Linked DNA regions of Anolis sagrei. The protein of the gene in region 1 interacts with the protein of each later gene in a biochemical or structural test. Links are inferred from orthologs where the notes say so. Each region holds a gene or a part of one and is shown in the gene's direction. Other genes may lie near its edges.

Evidence for each region.
Region 2: the proteins of SNTA1 (region 1) and sodium channel protein type 4 subunit alpha interact in a test that uses a peptide from one of them, tested with the Homo sapiens proteins (2 studies listed by BioGRID and IntAct). The link is inferred for Anolis sagrei from reciprocal best matches to the Homo sapiens genes SNTA1 and SCN4A.
Region 3: the proteins of SNTA1 (region 1) and ADRA1D interact in a test that uses a peptide from one of them, tested with the Homo sapiens proteins (2 studies listed by BioGRID and IntAct). The link is inferred for Anolis sagrei from reciprocal best matches to the Homo sapiens genes SNTA1 and ADRA1D.
Region 4: the proteins of SNTA1 (region 1) and DGKZ form a complex in vitro, tested with the Homo sapiens proteins (2 studies listed by BioGRID and IntAct, with this or other methods). The link is inferred for Anolis sagrei from reciprocal best matches to the Homo sapiens genes SNTA1 and DGKZ.

The regions. Positions count from the first base shown.
Region 1 is NC_090024.1:208,951,789-208,959,226, reverse strand, and holds the start of SNTA1 (alpha-1-syntrophin), read left to right. Parts: upstream 1-4,436; 5' UTR 4,437-4,555; coding exon 4,556-4,844; intron 4,845-7,438. UniProt on the Homo sapiens protein: Adapter protein that binds to and probably organizes the subcellular localization of a variety of membrane proteins. May link various receptors to the actin cytoskeleton and the extracellular matrix via the dystrophin glycoprotein complex.
Region 2 is NC_090026.1:48,522,500-48,529,972, forward strand, and holds the start of sodium channel protein type 4 subunit alpha, read left to right. Parts: upstream 1-4,462; 5' UTR 4,463-4,617; intron 4,618-7,473. UniProt on the Homo sapiens protein: Pore-forming subunit of Nav1.4, a voltage-gated sodium (Nav) channel that directly mediates the depolarizing phase of action potentials in excitable membranes.
Region 3 is NC_090025.1:9,059,545-9,066,972, reverse strand, and holds the start of ADRA1D (alpha-1D adrenergic receptor), read left to right. Parts: upstream 1-4,406; 5' UTR 4,407-4,854; coding exon 4,855-5,812; intron 5,813-7,428. UniProt on the Homo sapiens protein: This alpha-adrenergic receptor mediates its effect through the influx of extracellular calcium.
Region 4 is NC_090021.1:278,501,784-278,509,231, forward strand, and holds the start of DGKZ (diacylglycerol kinase zeta), read left to right. Parts: upstream 1-4,443; 5' UTR 4,444-4,458; coding exon 4,459-5,240; intron 5,241-7,448. UniProt on the Homo sapiens protein: Diacylglycerol kinase that converts diacylglycerol/DAG into phosphatidic acid/phosphatidate/PA and regulates the respective levels of these two bioactive lipids.

The DNA.
Region 1 (7,438 bases):
AAAAACATCAAAAATCATCCAGGCGTCCCCTGGGCAACGTCCTTGCAGATGGCCAATTCTCTCACACCAGAAGCGACTTGCAGTTTCTCAAGTCCCTCCTGACACGACAAAAAAAATACTAATTGGTAATAATAATTAGTCCCCTGGTAGCGCAGAGGGTTAAATCACTGAGCTGCTGAACTTGCTGACCGAAAGGCTGGTGGTTCGAATCTGGAGAGCGGGGTGAGCTCCCGCTGATAGGCCCAGCTTCTGTCAACCTTGCAGTTCAAAAACATGCAAATGTGGGAAGGTAGCTTGTGCTCCATGCAGTCATGCTGGCCACATGACCTAGGAGGTGTCTATGAGCAATGCCAGTTCTTTGGCTTAGAAATGGAGATGAGCACCCCCTAGTCAAACACGACTAGACTTAATGTCAGGGGAAACTTTTACCTTTACTTCACTATACTAAGCTCTCCAAATTTTCAAGATAATGAGGAAAATACATTTTCAAACTCAAATGGGGAGTTCCAGCTGTAAAATGTCATGGAAGCTGCTTGCTCTTAACATTTGTTATTGGCACAACAAAGAGCTACTATTAAGGTTAGTGACAAACAACAAGTGTACCTATTTTCCTCTGACAAATGCATCTGCCTGTGGCAGGCCATTCAAGGAGGGAAACAGAACAATCCACAGGGAATGTAATGTCGAAGGCTTCCATGGCTGGAATCACTGGGTTGTTGTAGGTTTTTCGGGATATATGGCCATGTTCTAGAAAAACCTACAACAACCCAGATCCACAGGGAGTTTTCTCCTAGCGGAGGACAGACCTTCTTGTGGTAATTCAGACCATGTTTACACTGCCCAGTAACATTATGTTTTTGGGAGTGGTGTACAGAAAGAAAAATAAAACCACAGAAATATTTCCTGAAGTGCAAAACATTCTAAACACGGAATCTAAACAATAGCAGCAACAGAAGCACCCACCGTCTATACAAGTCAAAAGAATTCTTGAAAAGGATTGTTTTCATTTTATCAAGACTTTTCAGTGTTTGAGCTCTGTTAGAAGGGCCTTTTCCTCTCTTGCTGATCAATATGTTGTGGAAAGATATGGGGGTGGGGGGTGGGGGAGCACCTCAATTGTGGAATGCCCTTCTTTTGGAGGACCAATGAAGGCTTCATTTCAGCACAATGTCAACCATGGCTGTTTATTAGTACCTTTGGAGCCATGTTGATTTATTTCTAACACATTCAAGCCCATAGCTAGAACGTTTTAGTATTTTAAATCTATTTTTGACTCGTTGAAAGTGTTGAATATATATTTTAGTCTGTTTAAATGAGGACTCTTGTTTTAAAGAGTTTTAAAATTGGTGTAACGCAGGCAAACCTATGCCCTCCAGTTGTTTTGGACTTCACCTTCCACAATTCCTAACAGCCTCAGGCTTTAGTGGCTGAGGGGAAAAGGAAAGGGCCCGAGGCTGTTAGGAATTGTGGGAGTTGAAGTCCAAAACACCTGGAGGGCCCAAGTTGGCCCATGTCTGGTTGAACGTGTGTATCACTCTGAGATGTTATAGGGCAAAATAAAGTTGCCCCTCATCATATTGGGTTTTTTAAAAGACTGTTTGAATTAGGTTCATTGATTTGAAGAGTTTTAAATTGATTTGACTTGTGTGCCACCAGGAGATCTTACAGGGCAGTATATATTTGTGGGTTTCTTTTGTGTGGATTTGATTATTATTTGTGAGTTTTTAGCTCTGCCACCTTGCCCCTCTCTGCCTGCCTTGTTTGGGGCCATTTCAGGCCCCTGGGCATCTCCAAAGGCGACGCAATGGGTTAAACCCTTGTGTCAGTAGGACTGCTGACTGAAATGTCAGTGGTTTAAATCCAGGGAGCTTCCATCTATCAGCTCCAGCTTTTCATGCAGGGACATGAGAGAAGCCTTCCACAGGATAGTAAAACATCTGGGCGTCTCCTGAGCAATGTCACACCAGAAATGAAAAAAAAATCTCCAAATCTCCAAAGGTCAAGCAGACAGATCCCTACTCTTCCACCAGATATCTTGGCTGCATCTATTCCACCTGTCAAATTCAAGGCCCAAAGGCCTAACTATTTTATGTGACCCTCTTCCAGATGGACTACAATTACTGCATCCCTCATCCCTCATTTAAACATGACTAGGCCTGATGGGAATTGGGACACAGTAAAATTGGGAGGCTGCACTTTGTTCTGTTTAGTCAGGACAGTAGAGTTTGAATTTAGCTCTTGCTCCTGCCAACCTATCAGTTCAAAAATATGCAAATGTGAATAGATCAATAGGTATCGCTTTGACGGGAAGGTAATAAAGGCGTCCATGCAGCCATGCCAGCAACAAAACTAGGTGGTGTCTATAAACAACAGGCTACTCAGCTTGGAAATGGAATAAAAGTAACTCCCTGTGGTCAGCATTGAACGCTGCTTCCCAAAACTGGAGATGAAAGGGAAAGCCTGTAAAATAGTTCAAGAATTCTGGAAAAAGGTGGTGAAAGAAACAAACAATATGATTAACAAAAAGGTCAAGGAAAACCCAGAAATGTGGTTAGTAGGACTATTTAGAAGGTGTATTTGCACAAGAAATGAAGAAATTTATCAATATTGCTTTGTTGCTGTGAGACTAATAATAGCTAAAACATGGAAGGGTGGAAAAAGAGTTCGCTATCAAAGATTGGAGAGATAAATTAGTAGATTCTATCCAAATGGCCAAGCTGACAAATAGTAGCAGAGGAAGAAATAATGAAGGATTTGCAAACAAATGGAGGCTGGCACTTGGACATCAGGAAAAGAAGACAAAGGTAGATTTGAAGATTTCCACAAAGAGATTTTATGAAAGAAGACATATGGGTAGTTGCTGGGTAGTTATGTGATCCACATTGAGGGGCGTCAGACACCATGGGGGTTGGATTCACGGATGTGGGGTTAGATGGATAAGAAATGGGGTTAGATGGATAAGAATGCTCTTTGATTGTATGTGAACTATAAATCCCAGCAACTACAAACGTCAAGGTCTATTTTCCTCAAACAACACCAGTGTTCACATTTGGGCATATCGAGTATTTGTGCCAAGTTTGGTCCAGATCCATCATTGTTTGAGTCCACAGTGCTCTCTGGATATAGGTGAATTATAACTCCAGAACTCAAGATCAATGGCCCACCAAACCCTTTCAGTACTTTCTGTTGGTAGAGGGAGTTCTGTGTGCCAAGTTTGGCACAATTCCATCGTTGGTGGAGTTCAGAATGCTCTTTGATTGTAGGTGAACTATAAATCCCAGCAACTACAACTCCCAAATGTCAACATCTATTTTCTTCAAACAACACCAGTGTTCACATTTGGACATATTGAGTATTCATGCCAAGTTTGGTCCAGATCCACCATTGTTTGAGTCCACAGTGCTCTCTGAGTGTAGGTGAACAACAACTCCAAAATTCAAGGTCAATGGCCCACCAAACCCTTCCAGTATTTTATGTTTGTCATGGGAGTCACTGTGCCAAGTTTGGCCCAATTCCATCGTTGGTGGAGTTTAGAATGCTCTTTGGTTGCAGGTGAACTATAAATCCCAGCAAGTACAACTCCCAAATGTCATGGTCTATTTTCCTCAAACAACACCAGTGTTCACATTTGGACATATCGAGTATTTGTGCCAAGTTTGGTCCAGATCCATCATTGTTTGAGTCCACAGTGCTCTCTGGATGTAGGTGAACTACAACTCCAAAACTCAAGGCCAATGGCCCATAATAATAATAATAATAATAATAATAATAATAATAATACTTTATTTATACCCCGCTACCATCTCTCCATGGGACTCGGTGCGGCTTACATGAGGCTGAGCCCGTAATACATCAATACAAGCAATAACAGACACAATACAAGGCCCACCAAACCCTTCCAGTACTTTCTGTTGGAAGAGGGAGTTCTGTGTGCCAAATTTGGTTCAATTCCATCCTTGGTGGAGTTCAGAATGCTCTTTGGTTGTAGGTGAACTATAAATCCCAGCAACTACAACTCCCAAATGACAAAATCAATCCTCCCCCATCCCAGTGGTATTCATATTTGGGCGTACCAGGTGCCAGATTTGGTCCAGTGAATGAAAATACACCCTACATCTCAGATATTCACATTATGATTCATAACAGTAGGAAAATGACAATTATAATGTGATGTTTGGGGGTCAGCACAACCTGAGGAACTGTGTTGAGGGGTCGCGGGGCATTAGGAAGGCTGAGCAACACGATGCCGTTTGTCACCCCTGGCACTGCTTTACTTAGCTCGACGCTGTGGCATCAGGGCAGTTGTCATTGGGCGAGACCTTGCCCAAGTGCGGCTCCCGGGATTCCAGGGCATGGAGCCTTAGCAGTGCAAAGCGGTGCCAACCCGCGTTGGTTCCTCGGTGTGGAGGCGCGGGGCGGGAGGCGCCGGGGGCGTTGCTCGGTGGGCGGAGAGGCGGAGAGGCGGCGGGGCTGGAGCCGGAGTCCGTCCACCGAAGGCAGAGCGAGGAAGCAAGGAAGGAAGGAAGGGAGAGAGGGAGGAAGGAATGCGCTGAAGATGGCGGCCGGGCGGCGGGCGCCCAAGAGCGGCTTGCTGGAGCTGCGGGCGCCGGGCGAGCAGTGGTTGCGGGTCCTGCTGGCTCTTTCCGAAGACTTCTTGAGCGTCAGTCCCGGCGGAGGAGGAGGAGGAGCGGGGAAAGGGCCCGAGGAGACGCCGCCGTCCAGCCCCGGGCAACTGAATGGCGGGGACCCGCCGCCCGCCCTGGTCCCGGACGCCCTCACCAACATTAAGCGCACCGTCCGGATCGTCAAGCAGGACGTGGGCGGCCTTGGCATCAGCATCAAAGGTGGGTCTCCTTCTCCTCCTCTTCTTTTCTGGGGCTCCCCGAGAGGTCGCTCTCTGCCCGTTCTCCCCCTTGATCGCCTAGCTAACCTTTCACCCTCTGGAGCCCCTTTTAAACCTGCTTTCTTTAGTTTAGCCCCTTGCCAACGGGATCCGGACTAAGTTTGTTTCCTTCCCAGCTGCGCCAGGAAAGCGCTGGAGGAGAAGTCCCCCCTTGGAAGAAGTTCCCGAGAAGAGAAGGAAAGGGGGAATTGCCCTTGAGAACATGGGAAAGTGAATTTTCCAGGCTATGTTCCAGAAGCATTCTCTCCTGACGTTTCGCCCACTTCTGTGGCAGGCATCCTCAGAGGTTGTGACGTTGAAACGTCAGGAGAGAATGCCTCTGGAACATGGCTTTACAGCACGGAAAACTCACAACAAGCCAGTTGTGAGGTCTGTTGGAAACTAAGCAAGTGGGGTTTATATAGCTCTGGAATGTCCAGAGTAGGAGAAAGAACTCTTGTGTGTATTGCCAAGGCTTTCATGGCCGGAATCACTGGGTTGTAGGTTTTTCAGGCTGTATGGCCATGTTCTAGAAGCATTCCATCTGATCATTAGGAAGAACTTCCTGACTGTGAGAGCAGTTCAGCAGTGGAACTCTCTACCTCAGAGTGTGGTTGAGGCTCCTTCTTTGGAAGCTTTTAAACAGAGGCTTGATGGCCATCAGTCAGGGGTGCTTTGAATGCAATTTTCCTGGTTCTTGGAAGGGGGTTGGACTGGATGGCCCATGAGGTCTACTCCAACGCTATGATTCTATTAATGATTCTAGATCATGGCCATACAGCCCGAAAAACCTACAACAACCCAACTCTTGTCTGTTTGAGGCATTTGTGAATGTTGCAGTTGGCAAACTTGATTAGCCCTGAATAGCTTGGAAGCTTCAAGGCCTGGCTGTTTCCTGCTTGGGGGGATCCTATGTTAGGAGGTGTTAATATCAATCAAGCTGGCCAATTACAACATTCACACTTGCCTCAAACAGACAAGAGTTGCTTCTCCCACCCTGGACATTCCACAGATATATACAACCTCACCTAGTTTCCTCACAATCTCTGAGGATGCCTGCCATAGATGTGGGTGAAACATCAGGAGAGAATGCTTCTGGAACATGGCCATACAGCCTGAAAAACCTACAACAACCCAACTCTTGTCTATTTGAGGCAAGTGTGAATGTTGCAATTGGCTACCTTGATTAGCATTGAATAGCCTAGAAGCTTCAAGGCCTGGCAGTTTCCTGTCTGGGAGGATCCTATATTGGGAGGTGTTAATACTAATCAAGCTGGCCATTTGCAACATTCACATCTGCCTCAGACAAAAATTCTTTCCCACCCTGGACATTCCACAGATAAATAAACCCCACTTGCCTAGTTTCCAACAGACCCCTCAACCTCTGAGGATGCCTGCCATAGATTTGAGCAAAACGTCAGGAGAGAATGCTTCTGGAACATGGCCATACAGTTCCAGAAAACTCACAGCAACCCAATTGTGAGGTCTGTTGGAAACTAGGCAATTTGGGTTTATATAGCTCTGGAATAATATCCAGGGTGGGAGAAAGAACTCTTGTCTGAGGCAAGTGTGAATGTCGTACTTGGCCAGTTTGATTAGCATTGAATAGCCTGACAGCTTCAAGGCCTGGATGTTTCCTGCCTGGGGGGATCCTATGTTGAGAAGTATTAATACCAATCAAGCTGGCCAATTGCAGCAGACAAGAGCTCTTTCTCCCACCCTGGATATTCCACAGATATATAAACCTAGTTGCCTAGTTTCCTCACAACCTCTGAAGATTCCTGCCATAGATGTGGGTGAAATGTCAGGAGAGAATGCTTCTGGAACATGGATATACAACCCAGAAAACTCACAGCAACCCAGTGATTCTGACCATGAAAGCCTGCGTCAACACCATGGAGGTGTCTAGAGACAATACTGGCTCTTCGGCTTAGAAATGGAGATGAGCACCAACCCCAGAGTCAGACACGACTGGACTTAATGTCAGGAGAAAACATTTACTCAAAGCAGCCAAAGAGGAAGCTAAGGACCTTTTTGAAAACTGCAACCCCCGGAATTCCATAGCATTGAGCCTTGGCAGTTAAGGTGGTGTCAAGCTGCTTGCAGTGTTGATTCCCCCTTGGAAGGCCTTGCCTTCCTTCACCCTTCCTGCCCATCCCAGGCATCCCAAGCACTTGCCATATGCCTCTTTCTCAGGCAAAGGGTGTTGCTTGAGCTTCCCACCCAAGGAATGGTGCTGGGTAGGGATGTTCAGGCTTCCCTGCGGATGTGGGATTGCAGTGACATTTCCACCCAGAAAGTGCACCTGTGGATTCCGATTTGTGTGAACCCATTCTTGAGTGTGTCTTCTTCAATCTGAACTGTGATTTCATTACAAAATGTACTGTCACTGCCACTTATATATAGAAATCATGTTTTGTAGAATATATATAAAATTAATATATAAAAATAATAATGATTATATATATATCTTACTCCTTTGGAACCACATACAATCAAATCTCAGGTTCTTAGTTGTGGTTTTATAGTGTGCCTTCTGAAGGTTAAAAAGGTCGG
Region 2 (7,473 bases), on another chromosome or scaffold:
ATCACCCCAAGGGACTCGGTGCGGCTTACATGAGGCCGAGCCCAAACACAACAATACAAGCAATAATAACAACAATACAAGCTATTAAAATACATAGACAATAAGAAACAACATTATCAATAAAACAACACATAGTTAAAAACAGTGGGAAGGCCAAATGTTAAGTTAAAATTGGAAATAATGCTGGGACATGAACAGAAGGTGATACTGGTGTTTGTGGAAGGGCATACAAGCACACTTAAAGAAATGTAAAGTGCTTTGGAGGACAAAGTGCTATGGGGTCATTATTCCGGGCACACTGGAACAGCCACGTCTTCAAGTTCCTCCTGAAGACTGCCAAAGTTGGAGCCTGTCTGATGTCTTTAGGGAGTGAGTTCCAGAGTTGAGGGGCCACCACCAAAAAGGCCCTCTCTCTCATCCCCACCAATCGCGTCTGCGATGCTGGTGGGATCGAGAGCAGGGCCTCCCCGGATGATCGAAGGGATCGTGTGGGTTTGTATACAGAGATGCGATCACGCAGGTAGGCGGGTCCCAAACCATTCAGGGCTTTGTAGGTAAGAACCTGCACCTTGAATTGGGTCCGGTGGATGAATGGCAGCCAGTGGAGCTCCTTGAACAGGAGGGTTGACCGCTCCCTGTAAGGAGCCCCAGTTAACAACCTGGCTGCCGCCCGTTGGATCATCTGAAATTTCCGGGCTGTTTTCAAGGGCAGCCCCATGTAGAGTGCATTGCAGTAATCCAGTCTAGAGGTGACTAAGGCGTGGACCACCTTGGCCAGAACTCTTTTTTCCCCATGTCAGGAGTGATTTCAGAAACTGCAAGACGCTTCTGGTATGAGAGAATTGGCCATCTGTAAGGACGTTGTCCAGGGAACACCCACATATTTTTGATGTTTTACCATCCTTTTAGGGAGGCTTCTCTCATGTCTCCGCATGGGGAGCTGGAGCTGACAGAGGGAGCTCATCCGCGCTCTCCCAGGATTTGAAACTGTGACCTGTCGGTCTTCAGTACTGCCAGCACAGGGGTTTAACCCACTGTGCCACCGGGTGCTCCACATTTTTTGAAACTGTTTGCTGGTGTTAGCTGGATTTTAAAGAGGAATTTGGACTGCTTATAATGGATTTAAAAAATTATTTCATGTTTTCAAAGTGTTTTTATCAATTGTGCATTGCTGCAGGGGTACTAGTGAGTACAGAGGTAAGGAATCGAATAAAGCAAACTAATAAATCAATAAATCATATTTCGGACATGCTTTGCTTACTTGCTTCAACAAAAGAAGGAGGTGAGGGGATGGCTGCATGCAGAAGCCCAGTCTAGTGCATATGATGTTTTATTATGCCAGAATTATGACCCTTCATGACATGCATTGTACACACCATGACTGATTTGCATATTTCTTTAAAGTTATTTATACTGCACCCTTCAAAGAAATTTACACTATGCAGCTTACAATAAATGCAAGGCCACAGAGTGGAAGTGAATCAGATCAAGAATATTTGTTCTGTGTGGTGACTGGTGATGCAGCTATTTCAATACTTGACCTACTGCATAAAAGAGCATAAAACTTCTGGTCCTCGAAGAGACGGTAGTGAAGATAGAGCCAGGAATGCACTAATAAGAGTGAAGAGAAAGGAAGGCAGAAGACAGTTCCATCTTGTCTCCTGCCTATATCATCAGTTGGGAGGCCTCCCCTCTCTGGCACCAACTGCTGCTCTGGCCAAAGTGAAGAGAAAAGGGGGCAGAAGACAGTTCCATCTTGTCTCCTGTGCTTTTGTTGTTGTTCATTCGTTCAGTCATTTCCGACTCTTCGTGACCTCATGGACCAGCCCAAGCCAGAGCTCCCTGTCGGCCATCACCACCCCCAGCTCCTTCAAGGTCAATCCAGTCACTTCAAGGATACCATCCACCCATCTTGCCCTTGATCGGTCCCTCTTCCTTTTTCCTGTGCTTTACTAATAATATCATATATTGTATATATATATAATATTTATAATATTATAATGTAATACAATATAATACTACTAATAATACAATATTATAATTATAATTACTAATAATATAACATGATATTCCCTGTAGTAACCTACGGATGTGAGAGCTGGACCTTAGGGAAGGCTGAGCGAAGGAAGATAGGTGCTTTTGAACTGTGGTGTTGGAGGAAAGTTCTGAGAGTGCCTTGGACTGCGAGAAGATCCAACCAGTCCATCCTCCAGGAAATAAAGCCCGACTGCTCATTGGAGGGAAGGATACTAGAGGCAAAGTTGAAGTACTTTGGCCACATCATGAGGAGACAGCAAAGCCTAGAGAAGACAATTATGCTGGGGAAAGTGGAAGGCAAAAGGAAGAGGGGCTGACCAAGGGCAAGATGGATGGATGGCATCCTTGAAGCAACTGGACTGACCTTGAAGGAGCTGGGGGTGGTGACGGCCGACAGGGAGCTCTGGCGTGGGCTGGTCCATGAGGTCACGAAGAGTCGGGGACGACTGAACGAATGAACAACAACAACAACAATAATATAACAATATAATGATATAGAACAATATAATAATATATAATATTGATATTGTACTATGCTAATAATATAATATATTGTGTATATATATGTGTGTGTGTGTGTATATATATATATATCTTGTAAGCCGCTCTGAGTCCCCTTCCAGGTGAGAAGAGCGGCATATAAATGTTGTCAATAATAAATTTAAAAAGAGTTAAAATGTAGACAATAGAATGAGAACGATGCCATCTAAAACAGCAGTAGGACAGTTGGATTAGGAAGAAACAAATTGGAACAATGGTCCATTAGGAAGATTCAAATGTGATGCCCTTAACACTTCGTTTTGGTATTTGCATAACTGTTTTGAGAGAGCCTTGGAGCGCAAGAAGATCAAACCAGTCCATACTCCAGGAAATAAAGCCCAACTGCTCACTGGAGGGAAGGATATTAGAGGCAAAGATGAAGTACTTTTGTCACATAATGAGAAGACAGGAAAGCTTGGAGAAGACAATGATGCTGGGGGAAAGGAAGGAAAACGGAAGAGGGGCAGGCCAAGGGCAAGATGGATGGATTGTATCCTTGACATGACTGGCTTGAATTTGAAGGAACTGGAAGTGGCCATGGCCGAAAAGGAACTTTGGTGTGGGCTGGTCCAGGATGTCACGAAGAGTCAGAAATGACTGAACGAATAAACAACAACATGGGTAATGGTAAAGGTTTTCCCCTGACATTAAGTCCAGTCATGTCCAACTCTGGGGGTTGGTTCTCATCTCAATTTCTAAGCCGAAGAGCCGCTGTTGTCCATAGACACCTCCAAGATTATGTAGCCAACATGACTGCATGGAGTGCCGTTACCTTTCCGCCGGGGCGGTACCTATTGATCTACTCACATTTGCATGTTTTTGAACTGCTAGGTTGGCAGAAGATGGGGCTGACAGCAGAAGCTCACGCCGCTCCCCAGATTTGAACCTGTGACCTATCGGTCAACAAGTTCAGCAGCTCAGCGGTTTAACCCACTACGCCACGGGGGGCTCTAAACAACAACATAAACATGACTGTTGCTTATTCTGTGGCCTGGATCCTTTTCAGTTGAAATATTAGCTAGAAGCTACCTATCCGACCGCATCTCTGCCTATGAACCCACCAGGACTTTGAGATCTTCCGGGTAGGCCATGCTCTCGATCCCGCCTGCTTCTCAAGCACAGCTGGCGGGGATGAGAGATAGGGCCTTCTCGGAGGTGGCTCCTCGGCTGTGGAACGCTCTTCCCTCGGACATTAGACTAGCACCATCTCTAATGGTATTCCGCAAAAACGTGAAGACCTGGCTGTTTGAGCAGGCGTTCAAGTAATCAGTGCAATGATTGGTAATGAACATAGGAATGGAACAATGGATGACGAATCTGGATTATGTTTTTGATGATTTGACGATAGTGAATGGTTATTGTAGTAATTGTTTATTAATTGTGTAATGTGTTAGGTTGTTAACTGTTTTTTATACTGTAGCATTGAATTTTTGCTGTTCTTATTGTTGTGAACTGCCGTGAGTCGCCTTCGGGTTGAGAACAGCGGTATAAAAGTAAAGTAAAGTAAAGTAAAGTAAAGTAAAGTAAAGTAAATAAATAAGAATTGTGCTGAACACTGATGTTGTTGTTATGTGCCTCCAAGCTGTTTCTGACTTATGGCAAGATTTGTTCAGAGGGTGGGTTGCCTTTACTTTCCTCTGAGACGGAGAAAGTATGATTTGTCCAAGGTAAAAAGAGTTTCACAAGCTGTTTTGCTTCTTCAGTCAGTTGTTGTGCAAGTGTTCAGCTCTCTCTCTCACTTTTGACTTGGCCGGAGTGGAACTGAGTGACAGTTGTACAACCATAGAGCTCAGGGCCATTGGAACAGTTGCATAACTGAGTTATAGTGTAACCGAGTTATAGTGTAACTGATATATATTTACACTATACTAAAAACATACATGATTTTGACATTAATTACAGTACAACCCCTGCATCTGTGGGGGATACGTTCCAAGGTTCCACCATGGATAGTTAAACTGTGGATAATAGAGAACCCGTTATTGGAGGATTTAGAGGAGCCCACAAATACTTCTAAGGGAAATTGTTTTTGGAGTGTGGGTAAGTGAAACTGTCAATATTGTACTGTATTCCACAATGCACGGTGAGTAAAGCATAATTTGTTATAGAATTCTGGAGTGAGCCTACAAAATCAGAGGTTAGAGAACAGTAATACACTGGTACTTGAAATCTAGGAATGGGTAATTGGAAAAGAAGAGACTTTCAGTCTTATCTCATGGAACAATTGAAGCATCTATGGAGCCCTATGCTGCCCATCAAATAACATAGGGTGACCTCCAGTAGGGCAGTGGTTCTCAACCTTTCTAATGCTGTGACCCCTTAATACAGTTCCTCATGTTGTGGTGACCCCCAATCATAATATTATTTTTGTTGCTACTTCACAACTACAATTTTGCTACTGTTATTAATCATAATATAAATATCTGATATGCAGGATGTATTTTTATTCACTGGACCAAATTTGGCACAAATACGTGATATGCCCCAATTTGAATACTGGTGGGGTTGGCAGGGGATTGATGTTGTCATTTGGGAGTTGTAGTTGCTGGGATTTATAGTTTACCTACAATCAAAGAGCATTATGATCACCAACAATGGAACTGAACCAATCTTGCCACACAGAACTCCCGTGACCAACAGAAAATACTGGAAGGGTTTGGTGGGCATTGACCTTGAGTTTTGGAGTTGTAGTTCACCTAGATCCAGAGAGCACTGTGGACTCAAACAATGATGGATCTGGACCAAACTTGCCATGAATACTCAACATGCCCAATGTGAATGAACACTGGTGGAGTTTGGGGAAAATAGACCTTGGCATTTGAGAGTTTTAGTTGCTGGGATTTATAGTTCACCTACAATAAAAGACCATTCTGATCCCTACCAACGATAGAACTGGGCCAAACTTCCCACATGGAACCCCTATGACCAACAGAAAATACATTTTTGGATGGTCTTTGGCGACCCCTCTGAAACCCCCTCTTGACCCCCCCAGGGGTCCCGACCCCCAGGTTGAGAACTACTGCAGTAGGGCTTTGTGAGTGAATTTGAGTGGCACCATGGTGGGATGCCAAAACAGAAGCCATCCTATGTTTCTTAAGAAACAATAGAGCTTTGATGGAGGGAGAGACTCTTCCCCATGTGGGATGAGGAAACTGCTTCTGGCTGGGTCGTTGGGATTGCTCTGCTGCCATATGCGCTGCCACCATGATTTGCAACGGAGGCTGGTGAATCAAGGCGCTGGACCTTATCCATGTGATGGGGTCCCTCAACCTTTGCTTCAAAGTGGTTGCTCAGAATATAGCCTCTGTTAAGATTAAGGACCTTGTCACATGGAGGTCCTTAACCGGGGGACAGCGGAGGCATCTGTGGGATAGTGTAGTGAATCCATGGGGCAGCAGGGTAAATTGTTGGTGGAAATTGCTCTGGAATCCATTTGTCCGTGGCTTGCTCCCATGTTGTCCCCATGTTCTCTTGACCACCACTTTTTATTTTTCATTATGTTATTTTGTACTATTTATTTTACTTGATTGGTTTATTTTATTGTGATGTTATTTTGCTGTTTTATGTTGCTGTAATGTATCGCTGGGCATGTAAGCTGTTCTGAGTCCCTTTTGGGGAGATGGTGGCGGGGTATAAATAAAGATTATTATTATTATTATTATTATTTTACTGACACAAAAGCACAGTATGTCACAGCAAACGAGATCTATATGCTGGATTTCATATCACAAAATCACAAGTCAAACACTTCCCAAGCGTCTAGGACTGTGTGATGTATTTTTGAATGATGCGTGCAGATCCAAGTAAGGTGGCCTTTTGCAATTGACAGATCATGATTTTGTCCATGTTTATTGTTTCCAAATGCCGGCTGAGATCTTTTGGAAGAGATCTTTTTGACCACTGGGACCACCTGTGCTTTATGCCAGAGCCTTTGCAGTTCAATTTTGAGGTCTTGATAGCGGCTGAGTTTTTCCTGTTGTTTTTCCTCAATGCGACTGTGACCCGGTATGGCGACATCAATAATCCAGACTTTTTTCTTTTCCACAATCGTGATGTCTGGTGTATTGTGTTCCAAAACTTATCAGTCTGGATTCGAAAGTCCCACAGTATTTTTGCGTGTTCATTTTCCATGACCTTTGAGGGTTTATGATCCCACCAGTTTTTTGCTGCTGGCAGGTGGTACTTGTGACATACGTTCCAGTGAATCATCTGAGCCACAGAGTTGTGTCTTTGTTTGTAGTCCATCTGTGCGATTTTCTTGCAATTATTATTATTATAATATTATAAAATTATTATTATTATTATTATTATTATTATTATTATTATTATTATTATTATTACGCTGCTGAGCATGGAGCCAGCATATTTCGCACGCTTACCACACTGCCGGCACAAAGCCAGCATGAAGCACCACTGGAAATAGCCCTGTGTCATGTGATGGGCTCTGGTGAGCTCCATCCCGGCTACGTCTTGGCAGCATAATAGGATGGGGCTGAAAGCCCATGCAATGAGGTTGTATCAATCAAGCTTCTAGACTGCTATTTAAGTATGTAAGGATGTTGTTGCACAGGAGCCAGGCATGTAGCCGGGGGGGGGGGGGGGGGGGGGGCTTGAGGGGCTTTAGCCCCCCCCCCCCCCAAATTCTCATGGTGGTTCGCGAAAAGGCCTTACTGGTGCATTATTTAAACTGTTATGTTTATTCATATCATGATCTGATCACCATACTCAATATATCCCATATGCATTGGGGTATTGGGAATAACAATACAAAAGGTTTGCTAGGGTAGACCCTCTTTCACTCAGACTCAGCCCCCCCCCGAAACTCAGCCCCCCCGAAACCCCCCTGAAAAAAAACTCAGCCCCCCCCCCCCCCCCGAATCGAAATCCTGGCTATGG
Region 3 (7,428 bases), on another chromosome or scaffold:
TGCTCCGGTGAGTAATCTGGCTCCCGCCCGCTGGACTAATTGAAGTTTCCGAACAGTCTTCAAAGGCAACCCCACGTAGAGTGCGTTGCAGTTATCTAGAGAATGAATCCACTTTAAACCCTCCTCATGTCTTCCCTCCTCCATCGGAGGTCTGATCTTCGTCAGACAATGCTTGCAAAACAAAAACACCTGCAATTAAAAAAAATAGTTCTCCAAAATAGTCTACGTGCCAAGTCATGTTAAGAGGGAAAACACCTGCAGTTTAAAAGGGAATTCCCTGAAATGAAAGGCTTTAGGAAGGCAGGCATCCTCTGATCATAGGATTCTTGTTGTTGCTGTGTGTCTTACGGTGACCCTATTAGAAGAGGTTTCTTGGAAGAACAGGTCCAGAGGGGGTTTGTTTGCTTTTGCTTTCCTCCAAAGCTGGGAGAAAGGTGGCTTATTTATTATTGTTATTATTATTGTGTTGTCAAAGCCAATGGGATGTTGGACTGCAATGTTTTAAATTGTTTTTAACTTACCGGGATTGTGGCGCAGCTGGCTGAGTGTCAGCTGCATTAAAAGATCACTCTGACCAAAAGGTCATGAGTTCGCAGCCAGCCCAGGTTGGAGTGGGTTTCTAACCAATTGTGTGTAGCCTGTTGTCAACCTTTGCAACCCGAAAGACAGTTGCATCTGTCAAGTAGGAAAATTAGGTACCACATTAAAGTGTGGGGAGGCTAAATTAACTAATTTATGAGGCCATAGAGAAGACTCCAGCAAAGCATTCCAGCGGGGAAGCATGCAAGGAATGCGGAAGTACTTTATCAGCGTCGCAGATGGACGATGAAAGCGACAGCTCCAGCAGTCAGAAAAAGTTAAATAGCCTCTGTCTATGTCTGTATATGTCTGTATGTCAAAAATCGGCATTGAATGTTTGCCATATATGTGTAGACTGTAATCCACCCTGAGTCCCCTGTGGGGTGAGAAGGGCGGAATATAAAAGCTGTAATTAAATAAATAAATAAATAAATAAATATTATTTACTGTTTTAAATTGTTATTATATCTGTTATAATTGTTTTGTATGTTGTGGCATCGAATTTTTGCCTGTGTAAACCGCTCTGAGCCCGCCCCGCCCCCTCAGGGGTTGAGAAGGGTAGGGTAGAAATGTTGGAAATAATAAATAAATAAATAGGAATGTAGTGTCTATATCCAGGGAAGTCACACTATTCTTCTTTGGTCGGACCACACCTGGAATCACACTGTGTCCAATTCTGGCCACCACAATTGAAGGGAGAGGTTGACTCTAAGCTGGAATGTGTCCAGAGGAATTTGACTCCAAGAATCAAGGGTCTGGAGAACAAGCCCGATGAGGAGCAGCTTAAAAAGCTGGGCATGTTTAGCCTGAAGAAGAGAAGGCTGAGAGGAGATATGATAGCCATGTATATGTGGGGGGAAGTCATAGGGAGGAGGGAGAAAGCTTGTTTACTGCTGCCCTGGAGACTAAGATGTGGAACACTGGATTCAGACTACAGGAAAGGAGATTCCATCTGAACTTGAGGAAGAAATTTCTAAGGGTGAGAGCTGTTCAGCAGTGGAACTCCCTGCCCCAGGCTCCTCCTTTGGAGGCTTTTAAACAGAGGCTGGATAGCCATCTGTTGGAGGTGCTTTGAACGCGATTGTCCTGCTTCTTGGCAGAGAGTTGGACTGGATGGCCCTTTTCCAACTCTATGATTATATGAAAGCTAATCCTATGATGGATGGATGGATGGATGGATGGATGGTATCCTTGAAGAAGGAGCTGGGGGTGGTGACGACCAACAGGGACCTCTGGCGTGGGCTGGTCTGAAGGAAACGACTGAACGAATGAACAACAACAATCCTATCTCAATACACCTAAGTTTCTGTTGATTATGAACTGCACTTTAGGCACTCTAATTAGATGGATGGATGGATGGATGGATGGATAGATAGATAGATAGATAGATAGATAGATAGATAGCAGAGATAGACAGACAGACAGACAGATAGATAGCAGAGGTAGATAGATAGATAGATAGATAGATAGATAGATAGGTAGGTAGGTAGGTAGGTAGCAGAGACAGATAGACAGGCAGGCAGGCAGGCAGACAGATAGATAGCAGAGGTAGATAGATAGATAGATAGATAGATAGATAGATAGATAGATAGATAGATAGATAGATAGATAGATGATAGATCGATAGATCGATAGATAGATGGCAGAGACAGACAGACAGACAGGCAGATAGATAGCAGAGGTAGATAGATAGATAGATAGATAGATAGATAGATAGATAGATAGATAGCAGAGATAGACAGACAGATAGATAGCAGAGATGGATAGATAGATAGATAGATAGATAGATAGATAGCAGAGATAGATAGCAGAGATAGATAGCAGAGACAGAAAGATAGATAGCAGAGATGGATAGATAGATAGATAGATAGATAGATAGATAGATAGATAGATAGCAGAGATAGATAGCAGAGACAGAAAGATAGATAGCAGAGATGGATAGATAGATAGATAGATAGATAGCAGAGATAGATAGCAGAGATAGACAGACAGATAGATAGCAGAGATGGATAGATAGATAGATAGATAGATAGATAGATAGATAGATAGATAGCAGAGATAGACAGACAGATAGATAGCAGAGATGGATAGATAGATAGATAGATAGATAGATAGATAGATAGCAGAGATAGACAGACAGATAGATAGCAGAGATGGATAGATAGATAGATAGATAGATAGATAGATAGATAGATAGATAGCAGAGATAGATAGCAGAGATAGACAGACAGATAGATAGCAGAGATGGATAGATAGATAGATAGATAGATAGCAGAGATAGACAGACAGATAGATAGCAGAGATGGATAGATAGATAGATAGATAGATAGATAGATAGATAGATAGATAGATAGCAGAGATAGATAGCAGAGATAGATAGCAGAGACAGAAAGATAGATAGCAGAGATGGATAGATAGCAGAGATAGATAGATAGATAGATAGATAGATAGATAGCAGAGTGCCTTAAGCATATATATTGTGGAATCACCCCAAATGATTCCAAATGAGCATTATTTTGAGTCTAATAGCTCCTCTTCCCAACATTATTTGCCCAAGGTCACCAAATGCGCCTCTCTAAGCCGGGCGGGGGATTCGATCCCTAGTCCTGGTTGAACCTGAAGTCTACTCCAGTCCTACAAGAGCCGGTTCATTAGGATTCGAGATGCGAAAAGATGACCAAGCGAGTAGTAAGTCTGCGAGGCCAAGAGCAGCCCTGCCTTTTGCTGTCCCCTAGCGGCTTCGGTGCGCTCAGCGGAGGCGCTGGAAATCCTTCAATGAATCTATTTTGGGCAGCAGCTCCAGCCTCCCCCTCCTCCTCCTCCCCCTCCTCCTCCTCCGCCTCCCCTCCCCTTTTGACCCAGAACGTGTTTCCTCCCCCCTTCTCTTCCCTCCCCTTCCCCCCACCCCAAACGCCAGGCGGCTTCTTCCCCTCTCCATCCACTTGGTTGGGCATCTTGGCAACTGCAGGGCGCAGAGTCTGTTGCAGGGGGTCCCTCTTTGCCTGCGTCTCCTCCCAATTGGGGGGCCGCTGAGAGCCAGAGAAGGAGCGTGTCCCCATCCTCTCCCTTTGGGCTTCCTGTTTCCGTGCACAGCGAGCCCCCCAAAGGTGTATCCATCCAGCCCTCCATCCCGCAAGAGCGCCTCCTCCTCCTCCACCACCGCACTCCGCCTCCTGAATGCAAAGTTTCTTCTTCTCCGCGCCTGGAAGGATTGCGACTTTTCTGCCTTTCCTTTCCTGTGTCGGAGGCAGCGCCGTGGGGCAGTGAAGGCTGGTCTCCCTCCTCCAGGATTGCATGGCAGGCTGAGTCGCAAGGAAAGCGGTTTTTTCTCCAGTGGGGATGCTCTTCCTTCTCCTCCTCTTCTTCCTCCGTGCGCCCCGCTTGGCGCATCCCTTTGGATCCCGGTGGAAGTGACGCCTCCTCCCCAATCCTCTCCCTCATCTTCTCTGGATGAAGGCACAAGGAAGAAGAAGAAGTCAGTCCTTCCTCTCCAGAAATCCTCTTTCTTGCTACCTTGAGCTTCCCTCTCACTTTTTACCTGCTCTGGTTGAGATGAGCCACCTTTCTGCTTGAGGGAATTTGGTACCCAACATTTGGAGAGGCGCAAAGAAGAGAGAAAGAAAGAAAGGGGGAGAAGGTTGTTTTCCTTCTTCGTTGCGGGTGTTTCCTTCCCTCCCCCGCACGAGTGGGCATCTAGACCATTTTGCGAGTTGTTGTGATTGCAGGAATTGGCTGAAGAGGACCTTGGATGGAAGAGGAAGCAGGGGCGGAGGAGCCCAAGACATAGGAGGGGAGCTCCTTCCTTCCTTCCTTCCTTCCTCCCTCCCTCCCTCCCTCCCTTCCTTCCTTCCTTCCTTCCTTCTCTTTCTCTCCCCTCCTTGCTTCACAAACCGGGGTCCCTCTGTGGTAGGGAAGATGGGCTCCTCGAGATCCAGCAGCTTGGCAAGGGAAGCCACTTGCCCCTGGGGATTTAAGGAGGGAAAAGAAGGATGAAGGTGTCTTTTACTGAAGGGCATCCCTGGTAGGTTTAGATTTGCAGAGTCTGGAGAATCTTGATCCAGAGTTGCAGAAGAAGGGAGATCGGGACAAGTTGGGAAGAGACTTTCCTCCTGACAGCATGCACCTCAGAAGAGGAATGGGTTCAGTTCCTGATGCGAGACTGGGAGTTTGGGGTGAGTGAAAGCCCATGCCTATGCCCTTCTTCTCCTCTGTCCCTCTGCCACGCTGAGCCATCCCACGTCCCACCCCATGGAGACCGGACCTTGTTGAAAAAGAATGACTTTCTCTGACCGGATTAATGCCAGCTTGAATGGGAACCACTCGGGAGAGGCTGGGGGTATTAATGGGACCGGCGGAGAGGAAGATGTCCAGGCCAACAACGGCACCTCCTTGGCTCTGAAGCTGACCCTCCAGTCGGTGAGTGTAGGGGTCTTTCTGGCCCTCTTCGTCCTCTCGGCCATTGTGGGCAACATTTTGGTCATCCTCTCCGTGGCCTGCAACCGTCACTTGCAGACGGTCACCAACTACTTCATCATCAACTTGGCCATCGCCGACTTGCTCCTCAGCACCACCGTCCTGCCTTTCTCAGCCACCTTGGAAGTTCTGGAGGACCTCTGGGTCTTTGGGCGCATCTTCTGCGACATCTGGGCAGCGGTGGATGTCTTGTGCTGCACGGCCTCCATCATGAGCCTCTGCATCATCTCCGTGGATCGGTACATCGGGGTCAAGTACTCTCTGAAATACCCCACCATTATGACTGAGAAGAAGGCGGTGATCATCATGGTGGCCGTCTGGATCTCCTCCATGGTCATCTCCATCGGTCCCCTTCTGGGATGGAAGGAGGCACCTCCTGAGAACGACCAGCACTGCAACATCACGGAAGAGCCAGGGTATGCCATCTTTTCCTCCCTCTTCTCCTTCTATTTGCCCCTGGCCGTCATCCTGGTGATGTACTTCAACATCTATGTGGTGGCACGGAGGACCACCAAGAGCTTGGAGGCCGGGGTCAAAAAAGAGAGGAGCAAATCCATGGAGGTCGTGCTCCGGATCCACTGCCGCAGCGTTGTGGAGGACTCCCAGGCCAGCACCAAGAACAAGGGACACACTTTCCGGAGTTCCCTCTCCGTGCGACTCTTGAAGTTCTCCCGGGAGAAGAAGGCCGCCAAAACCCTCGCAATCGTGGTCGGGGTCTTCATTCTCTGCTGGCTGCCTTTCTTTTTCGTACTGTCTTTTGGTGAGTGGACAGTTGATATTCTCATGCTTTGTTTCTCATCTGTGCCATTAAGTGCTATCATTCTATTTTTATTACTTTATCACAGTGTGGAGGATAAAGCTTGGAGCTTGTGTAACTCCTCTAACATTCAGACTATTGCCCAGAATGGGTATGCTGGCAGTCATTCATCCATAGAGGATCACTCTGTCAATGTGAAATGTTGATTCTGGTCTCAGTATAACTGAGATTATAGCCCAAGAGTTTGGATAGTTCCGTTACTGTTCAATACCAAAACTTAGAGTGGAGTTCTCTGCAATTGTCAAACTGTAGAGTCGTGTTTCTCAACCTTCCTAATGCCATGGCCACTTAATACAGTTCCTCATTTTGTGGTGGCCTCCAACTATAAAATTATTTTGTTGATACTTCATAAGTGTAATTTTGCCACTGTGATGTAATCGTAATGTAAATATCTGATATGCAGGATGTATTTTCATTCACTGGACCAAGTTTGGCACAAATACCCAATATGCCCAAATTTGAATACTGGTGGGGTTGTGGGTGGATTGATTTTGTCATTTGGGAGTTGTAGTTACTGGGATTCATAGTTCACAAAAGAGCATTCTGAACTCCACCAATTTGGAATTGAACCAAACTTGGCACACAGAACTCCCATGACCAATGGAAAATACTGGAAGGGATCAGTGGGCATTGAGCTTGAGTTTGGGAGTTATAGTTCACCTACATCCAGACAGCATTGTGGACTCAAACAATGATGAATCTGGGCCACACTTGGCATGAATACTCAATATGCCCAAATGTAAACACTGGTGGAGGTTTGGGGGAAATAGACCTTGACATTTGGGAATTGTAGTTGCTGGGATTTATAGTTCACCTACAATCAAAGAGCATTCTGAACCCTAGAATTGGGCCAAACACATAGAACCCCATGCCTTGAAGGGACTTGCTGTCACGTCCTCCCTCCAGCCTCGCATGCTCTCTCTCACCCATATATGCGTACCGTGCTGCCATGCGTTGAACCCTACTAACTATAGAATTGGACCAAACTTCCCACACAGAACCCCCATGACCAACAGAAAATACCGTTTTCTGATTATCTTTGGCGACCCCTCTGACACCCCCTCATGACCCCCTCCCAGGGGTCCCAATCCTCAGGTTGAGAAACGCTGACCTAGAGGATGTGCCCATATCACCTTGGTGCCTTTTAGCCAAATATTCTATTGCAGTTTTGGCACTCTAGTTGAAGGAAAGGAATAGCTGTAGTTCCTTCCAAAGTAATTGTGAATGTCATTATTTGCGTGGTTGTTGGTGATTTTGAAGTCAGTGAGGGGATGCTTGTGCTTTGGATTTCATTTCAAACTTGAAAGGGAACTATACGTGCTGTTTATCCCTAAAATAGGTTCAATTCTCTTTTCGAGTTTGGATTGAAACTCAGGGCAGGTTCACCATTCCTCATTGATGCCACCAGCTTCACCCACATGACTCTGAAGGGACATGACGTTAAGAGAACTATTTATTTTTCTTCTTTGGAAATATGTGTGTCCTGCTGAGAAGCTGATGGTTCTCAGGATGGTGCACAGTGTGTCTTTTAGACAGATTTCATTTTTAAAGCCATCAAA
Region 4 (7,448 bases), on another chromosome or scaffold:
AGCAAGGGCCGGGTAAATGACCTTGGAGGGCCGCATCCGGCCCTCGGGCCTTAGTTTGAGGACCCCTGATCTAGAGAATTATAACTGCAACATATACTCCTCTGCTGTCACAATTGATCAATTAGCAGAACATCTGATTTGGCTTTTCTCCCAGTGCTGCATGTTTCTCAACTGATACTGAGATTAATCCTATACAAATGTCTTTTTGGGGATGGTTAGAATTACTTCGGGGTTGGTGTGTGGTTTGTTCTCTGCACGCTGCCATAAAACAGAAGGGCCTTAAGAGAAGAAGGATAAGAACAGGAGTCTGTATTGGCTGGTCTGTTGTTCCAATGAAGCAAGAAAATTGTGGGGCCTTATCTGGAATGGATGAATGGAATATATGAGTAAGGTGTGATTTGTGTCCCCCAGGAAGAGAGCTTCAGGCATCCATTATTACCCTTTTGAAGTATCAGGGCCATTGTGGCTGAAAATCAGAGCTCACACCCCCTCATCTTGCCATCTGTTAGCATATAGATTGTTGTCAGTTTTTTTTTATTTTTGATACTCCTCTAATTTTATGATGTTATTTTCTTATTTTGTATATTGTTTGCAGTGAGCTACAGTGAATCCTCTTGAATGGCTTTAGCGTGTGTATCCTTCACACTTGGATAATTAACTGAAAAGTTTTCCTTTTCCCATCCCACATTTCCTTTTCTGTTCTCCCCAAGATCAGCTTTCCGTTCACCTCCTGCTTTAATGGATCACACATTTTGGGAACCTTTAAGTGGGATTATTGGTTTGGAACCAAAAGATTCCTATAGCTAAACTCATTTCCTCACATGTTCTCTCAGAAGTTTCATTGACTGCAACAAGGTAAATGTATATTCCAATGGTCCTTAACTTGTGGGACTCCAGATGTTTTGGCCTTCAACTCCCAGAAATCCTAACAGCTGGTAAACTGGCTGGGATTTCTTGGAGTTGTAGGCCAAAACACCAAGGGACCCACAGGTTGAGAGCCACTGGGGTATAGTAATGAATTTGGGATCCATGGCTCCTGTATTCAAAATGCGCTTCTATTGATTTTTGCTTATATTTGGCAGAGAGAATGCAGTGATTTGATCAGAAAAATCTTCTGCATAGTCACTCAAAGCATTTCTAATTAAGAAGATTCCACCTTGGATTAATTGACAGTGCTTTGCAGCCAGACATTTGCAGTACATCAGTTTCCTCTCCCTGAAATTCATACGGTACATTATTCCATACTAACTTTTAAATATGTTCTTAATAGACACAGATAGGGGGCAGCATTGCTTTATTCATTACTAAAAGCGACAAAACTTGGAAAGTCACATTTTGCCAGCAACATGTAGTGTAAATGCCGAGAAGCTGAACATTCACCCCATATCTCCCACTTATTGAAGAAATTGAAGAAATGGCTTTCACAAATACTTTTGAGTCACAAACACCATTTTATTTATTGTTCCCTCTGGTGCAGAAGCTTTTTTCAATTGTCCACAGTTCAGTTAGGTGATCCCTTGTTATCTGAGTATGATGGCCTTCTAAATTCAGTGTCTTGGCGGTGGATACGTAGGGAACTGTGGAGCCCTATTTTTGACCTACATGTTTTGCAAAAGTGAGGACATCGGTTTCCAGATGGAAGGTGGCCCCAGTCAGGGTTGGCTTGACGCACCTTCCTCTTGGTACGTTTCTCCCTTTTGCCCTCCATTCGTGCCTCTTCAGATTCCGCAGCACTGCTGGTCACAGCTGACCTTCAGCTAGAGCACTCAAGGGCCAGAGCTTGCCAGTTCTTGGTGTCTATGCCACAGTTTTCAAGGTTATCTTCAAGCCCAACTTTAAATCTCTTTTCCTATCCACCAACATTCTGTTTTCCATTCTTGAGTTGGGAGTATAGTAACTGCTTTGGGAGATGGTGATTGGGCATTCGGACAACGTGGAGTTGATGGCATAGGAACATCATTTCAATGCTGGTGGTCTTTGCTTCTTCCAGCACACTGACATTTGTCTGCCTGTCTTCCCAATAGATTTGCAGGATTTTTCAGAGGCAATGCTGATGGAATTGTTAAGCGTGACATCTGTAGGCAGTCCACGTTTCACAGGATTGTCCACAATATCTGTGCACAAGATCCAGTCCCATTCCCCTAATGTTTTATTATACAGTATACTGAGGAATCTACAAATGTTTCACATGTTAGCCACTGTTTCTTTGTTGCAGAAAGTGAACTCTGGCTTCTTCATTTCCTGCTCCAGCAAAGTAATGCAAGGACACTCTCTACTCACCACCCAGTAAGGGACTTTTACAAGGAAGTGTGTATAATTGCAGGAATCCCTTCCTTACCGATTATTCCACAGGCCCAGCATCCTATTGGACATGGAGCCTTACCTCATTTTGAAAGAGGTATTCTCTTTCCCTCTGCTGCCCAGTATCTATTCCATGCCTTCCAACATTTAACAGATGAAATCTGGGACACAAGTGGCAATCAACCATCAATGTGTGGTCAAGATAGCAAAAGTTAGTAATGAGGAAGATCAGGCAAACTAGGAGAGACTGTTGCAGTGTGCTTTTGTCTGAACCTCCAGAAGAGGTCAAGATTCTGCCACCTCCAATAATAGTAGTAATAATAGTAGTAAGATTTTTTTGGTGTCAGGAGTGACTTGAATAGTAGTAAGATTTTTTTTGTGTCATGAGTGACTTGGCACAAAAAAAGAGGGCCAATTCTCTCACAGTAGTCGTCGCAATAATAGTTGTTGTTGTAGTAGTAATAGTAATAATAATAATAATGTATATATTGCTTTATTTCTCTAAAAAGAAACCCACAACTGCTAACAACACTAAGATCAATACAACAATCCTCTTATCACTTTCCCATTTGAAGGAAAATTAAGCATCTTAGGTCTGGCTCTGCCTCTTACCTGTGTGCTGCAATCTCTGTTTTGCCTGGTGGAACAGAGACTCACGCTATGTACACCTCCCCAATAGCACCCTCACATTCGGAAGGCAGCAGGCTTCAAACTCGTGAATAATTGAAACTATGAATGTAAAACCGGTGAAAATTGAGGGCCAACTGTGTTGTCTATCTATTGTTATAGTGAAGTGATTAACAAAAGAGCTTAATAACAAGCACTCAAATATATTTTAGACACTGCAATAACAGCATCCTACTGGCATCCAAAACAAGCATGTGAGAAATGTTGTCTGTGGGCTTTTAAATCATCTAGGCATGCGTTCCATGTTGACACAAGCCAAGGTCTTGACTCAAGTGATAATGCCTGGGTTTTTGCACATGTGTGCTTACAGTCAGGGGCAGGGTATTCTAGGAAGCAATGTGTTGCTTGCTGTATTTGTTTATGTGTGATCGCTGAGAGCCAGCATAGTGTAATGCAGTGTTACTTAACCTGTGGGCCTACAACTCCCAGAAATCTCAGCCAGTTTACCAGCTGTTAGGATTTCTGGGAGTTGAAGGCCAAAACATCTGGGGACCCATAGGTTGAGAACCACTGGTGTAATGGTTTGAGCTTTGGACTATGACTCTGGAGAACAGTGTTGAAATCAAGTTTGGTCCAGGTTCGTCACCCGTGCTGGTCACAGTGGCCTATGAAAGTGAGAGCCAATCAGAAAGCTGCCAAATTAATCTCCCACACATACAGAAATACATACAAACACTGACTTTTATTATAGACTAGTTTGGGGACCCGGCGCTGCCTGGGTTATTTGAGAAAGGCATTGTGTGGCAAAGGTGTTCTTTATCAGTTAGTGAAGGTACTGTGAATCCCATCGAGCATGGTCCATCCTCCTCCAAACAGCCCCTGAATGTAGAGTGGGTTATGGTAGCTCTGTGTGCCAAGTTCGATCTTACTCTGTCATTGGTGAGGGTCACAGTGATCTCATGAAGTGTGTGAAGGTACTGCAGGTCCCATCATCCATGGTGAATCCTCCTTCATACCACAACAGGATGTAGAGTGGATCATGGGGGCTGCAGTGTTCTGTGGAAACCGAAGGGTTGGAAAGTACTACACATCCCATCATCCATTGTCTGTCCTCCCCCAAACCTCACCAGGAACTAAAGGGGGTCATGGGGGTTATGTGTGCCAAGTTTGGTCTTCATCGGATGAGGGTCGCAGTGGTCTTGGGAAATGTGTGGAGGTACTTGAAGTCCCATTATCCATGATTCGCCCTCCTCCAAACTACAGTAGGAAGTAGATTGGGTCATGGGGGCTCTGTGTGCCAAGTTTGGCCTTTATTGGTCTTTGTTGGGAGCCACAGTGGTCTCTGGAAACCGAAGGAGTTGAAAGTACTACAAATCCATCATCCTTTGCAGTCCACATCGTAAGTGAGAGAACATATTTGTTATAATTAAGGGAGTAGGAAGGAGAAAGATAGAATAAAAAGAAAAAGAAAAGACCCGGAAAAAAGAAGAAAAAAATAACAATAGGAATAAAAATAAAAAGTCTTCTTTCATGTCCCCACATGGGAAGCTGGAGCTGACAGAGGGAGCTCAACCCGCTTCTCCCTGGATTCGATCCTGCCAGCACAAGGGTGTAACCCATTGGGGGCACCAGGGGCTCCTGCCCATGCCTGCTCTGCTGTTTTTCCCAGCCTCTCTGTCCCGACTCTTCAACCGGGCTCCTTGCATGCAGTACGCGCTTGCGGCCGGCAGGTGGCGCGGGCGGCTTGCTTTTTCCGGCGCCTCTTTCCTTCCTGCCTGCCTGCCTTCTTTGCTTGGGCGCCGTTGCGAGGAGGCAGCTCCCCGGACAGCTAAGCGGGGTCCTCGGGCGCTTGCTGGCTGGCTGGCTTGCTTACCTTGGTGCCTGCTGACACTTCCTGCGCGGCTCAGTCGGCGGAGGAGGCTCGCCGGGGATGTGTGTCCCGCCGCCGCGCCTCCCCCACCGGCGACCGTTGAGGCTCCTGAGGCGGGTGGCCCATGGGCCCCGGAGGGCGGAGGGGGAAGGGGAAGGGGAGGCTGGCCCTGGGCCCGCGGAGGGCATCATGACTCCGGCCAGGTGAGAGCGGGGCGGATGGAGCCCCCGGAGAGCGGCTTTGGCGGCGGGGCTGCTGCTCCTTCTGCTGCTGCTGCTCCTGCTGGAGGCGCCTCCTCGTCCTCCGCCGCCTCCGCCACCTGCCCCAGCTCCCCGTCCTCGGCCAGCTCCGAGACCTCCTTGTGCCCCGAGCCGGAGAGAGCGCCCGCCTTGGGAAGGAGGCACAGCAAGAAGCGCTTCGGGCTCAAGATCTTCGGGAGGAGGTGAGCCCAGCAGGGAGAGGCGGCGTGGCCATCTGCCGGGAGTGCTCTCCCCACAGGCCGCCACGGGAGTTGTAGGCTTGCAGGATCTTTCCTGTAAAAAGACAGGATGCATCTACGCCAGGAATAGGCAAACTTCGACTCTCCAAGTGTTTAGGACTTCAGTCCCCACACAGAGAGGCGGAGATGGCCATCTGTCAGGAGTGCTTTGCTTGTGAGTTCCACTCCCCACAGGTGGTGGCAGGAATTGTTGTATTCCAGGATCTTAAAAAAAACCCCACAGGAATAGGTTAACTTCGGCTCTCCCGGTGTTTAGAACTTCTGTCCCCGCACAGAGGCGGGATGGCCATCTGTCAGGAGTGCTTTGCTTGTGTGTTCCACTCCCCACAGGTGGCCACAGGAATTGTAGTCTTGCAGAATCTTTCTTTTAAAACTCAGTATGCATCTAACACCAGGAATAGGCAAACTTCGGGTCCCCAGGTGTTTTGGACTTCCAACTCCTACACAGAGAGGAGGGATGGCCATCTGCCGGGAGTGCTTTGCTTGTGCGTTCCACTCACCACAGGCGGCCACAAGAGTTATAGTTTGGCAGCGTCTTTTTTAAAAAAAACACAGGATGTATCTACACCAGGAATAGGCAAACTTCGGCTCTCCAGGTGTTTTGGACTTCAGTTCCCAAACAGAGAGGCAGGATGGCCATCTGTCAGGAGTGCTTTGGTTGTGAGATCCACTCCCCATAGGTGGCCACAGGAGTTGTAGTCTTGCAGGGTCTTTTTAAAAAACACACACACAGGATGCACCTACACCAGGAATAGGCAAACTTCAGCTCTCCAGGTGTTTTGGACTGCAACTCCCACACAGACAGGCGGGATGACTATCCCTCGGGAGTGCTTTGCTTGTGCGTTCCACTCTCCACAGGCGGCCACAGGAGTTGTAGTCTTGCAGGATCTTAAAAAAAAAAAAACAGGATGCATCTACACCAGGAATAGGCAAACTTCGGCTCTCCAGGTGTTTTGGACCTCAACTCCCACAATTCCTAACATCTCCCCTAATATTATAATATATTGTGTACACATATAATATTGAAAATAATATCATACAATATAATGCTGATAATAATACAGTATAATAATTATATATGTTAATATTATTACAGTACAGTAGTATAGTACAATATAGTAATATATAATACTAATATTGTGCTGTGCTAATAATGTAATATATTGTATGTACATATTACTTGTAAGCCGCTCTGAGTCCCCTTTGGGGTGAGAAGGGCGGCATATAAATGTTGAAAGTAAATAAATAAATAATCCTCCATCATTGACCATGCTGGCCGAGGCCTCCTGAGTGTTGAAGTCCAAAATATTTTGAGAGAGAGGGAAAAAAAGGACTTTTATTCTCCAAATCTTTCGGACTTTGGCACTTGGGGGCCTCGGCCAGCACTGTGGGAGATGTAGTCTGTACTCTTTGCAGAGCCAAAGATTTGCCACCCAAGATTTGCCACCCAATCCTAGAGAGAACTCAAAGGTGGAGAAGTAGGTGCTGTGAGTTCTGTTTTGCCAAACAGCAGAAGGGAGGCTCCCCAAAGCAAAATAATACACTGGAGTGTGAAGAGATGCTGTCCACGTGTTCCTTAAGACTGTCCATAAAATTGTATACAGAATATATAAGAACTATATTTACATTACATGTGAGAAATGAAATCTTGCGAACTGAATATTGTACACTGTTATTTTATTGTACCTCAGAGCTCTTTTGTGGTCCACCCTGCACATCATCAAGCCTTGGGAAATGGAGCAGGAAATCATTGTTACTCTAAAGGATTCACAATCTTGTCTGTAATCACAACATGGCTTCTAAGCCAGTGGTAACAGATGTCGGGCTTGTGGGGCTTTGTAATTTCATTGTTTTTGCCATGTAGAACTGGGTTAGGGAATAAATTGAAACACTTATTTTCATTGGCAGTCCTTTCACATGCGTACACAGGCCCGGCATTGCTGGCTATTTGCAATAGGAAGTCTTGCGATATTGTCTGGTCTGGGCATATTTCACAAATTTACACAAGAACTCAAATTATATCAACATGTGAAGAGAAGCAGGAAGTTCTCACGGACCCCATATGTGTTGCTTTTGGGACTATTTTACCAGGCCAACATGGCTACTGATACAAATAATAATCATAATAATCCCAGGTGACAGCAAAATTGA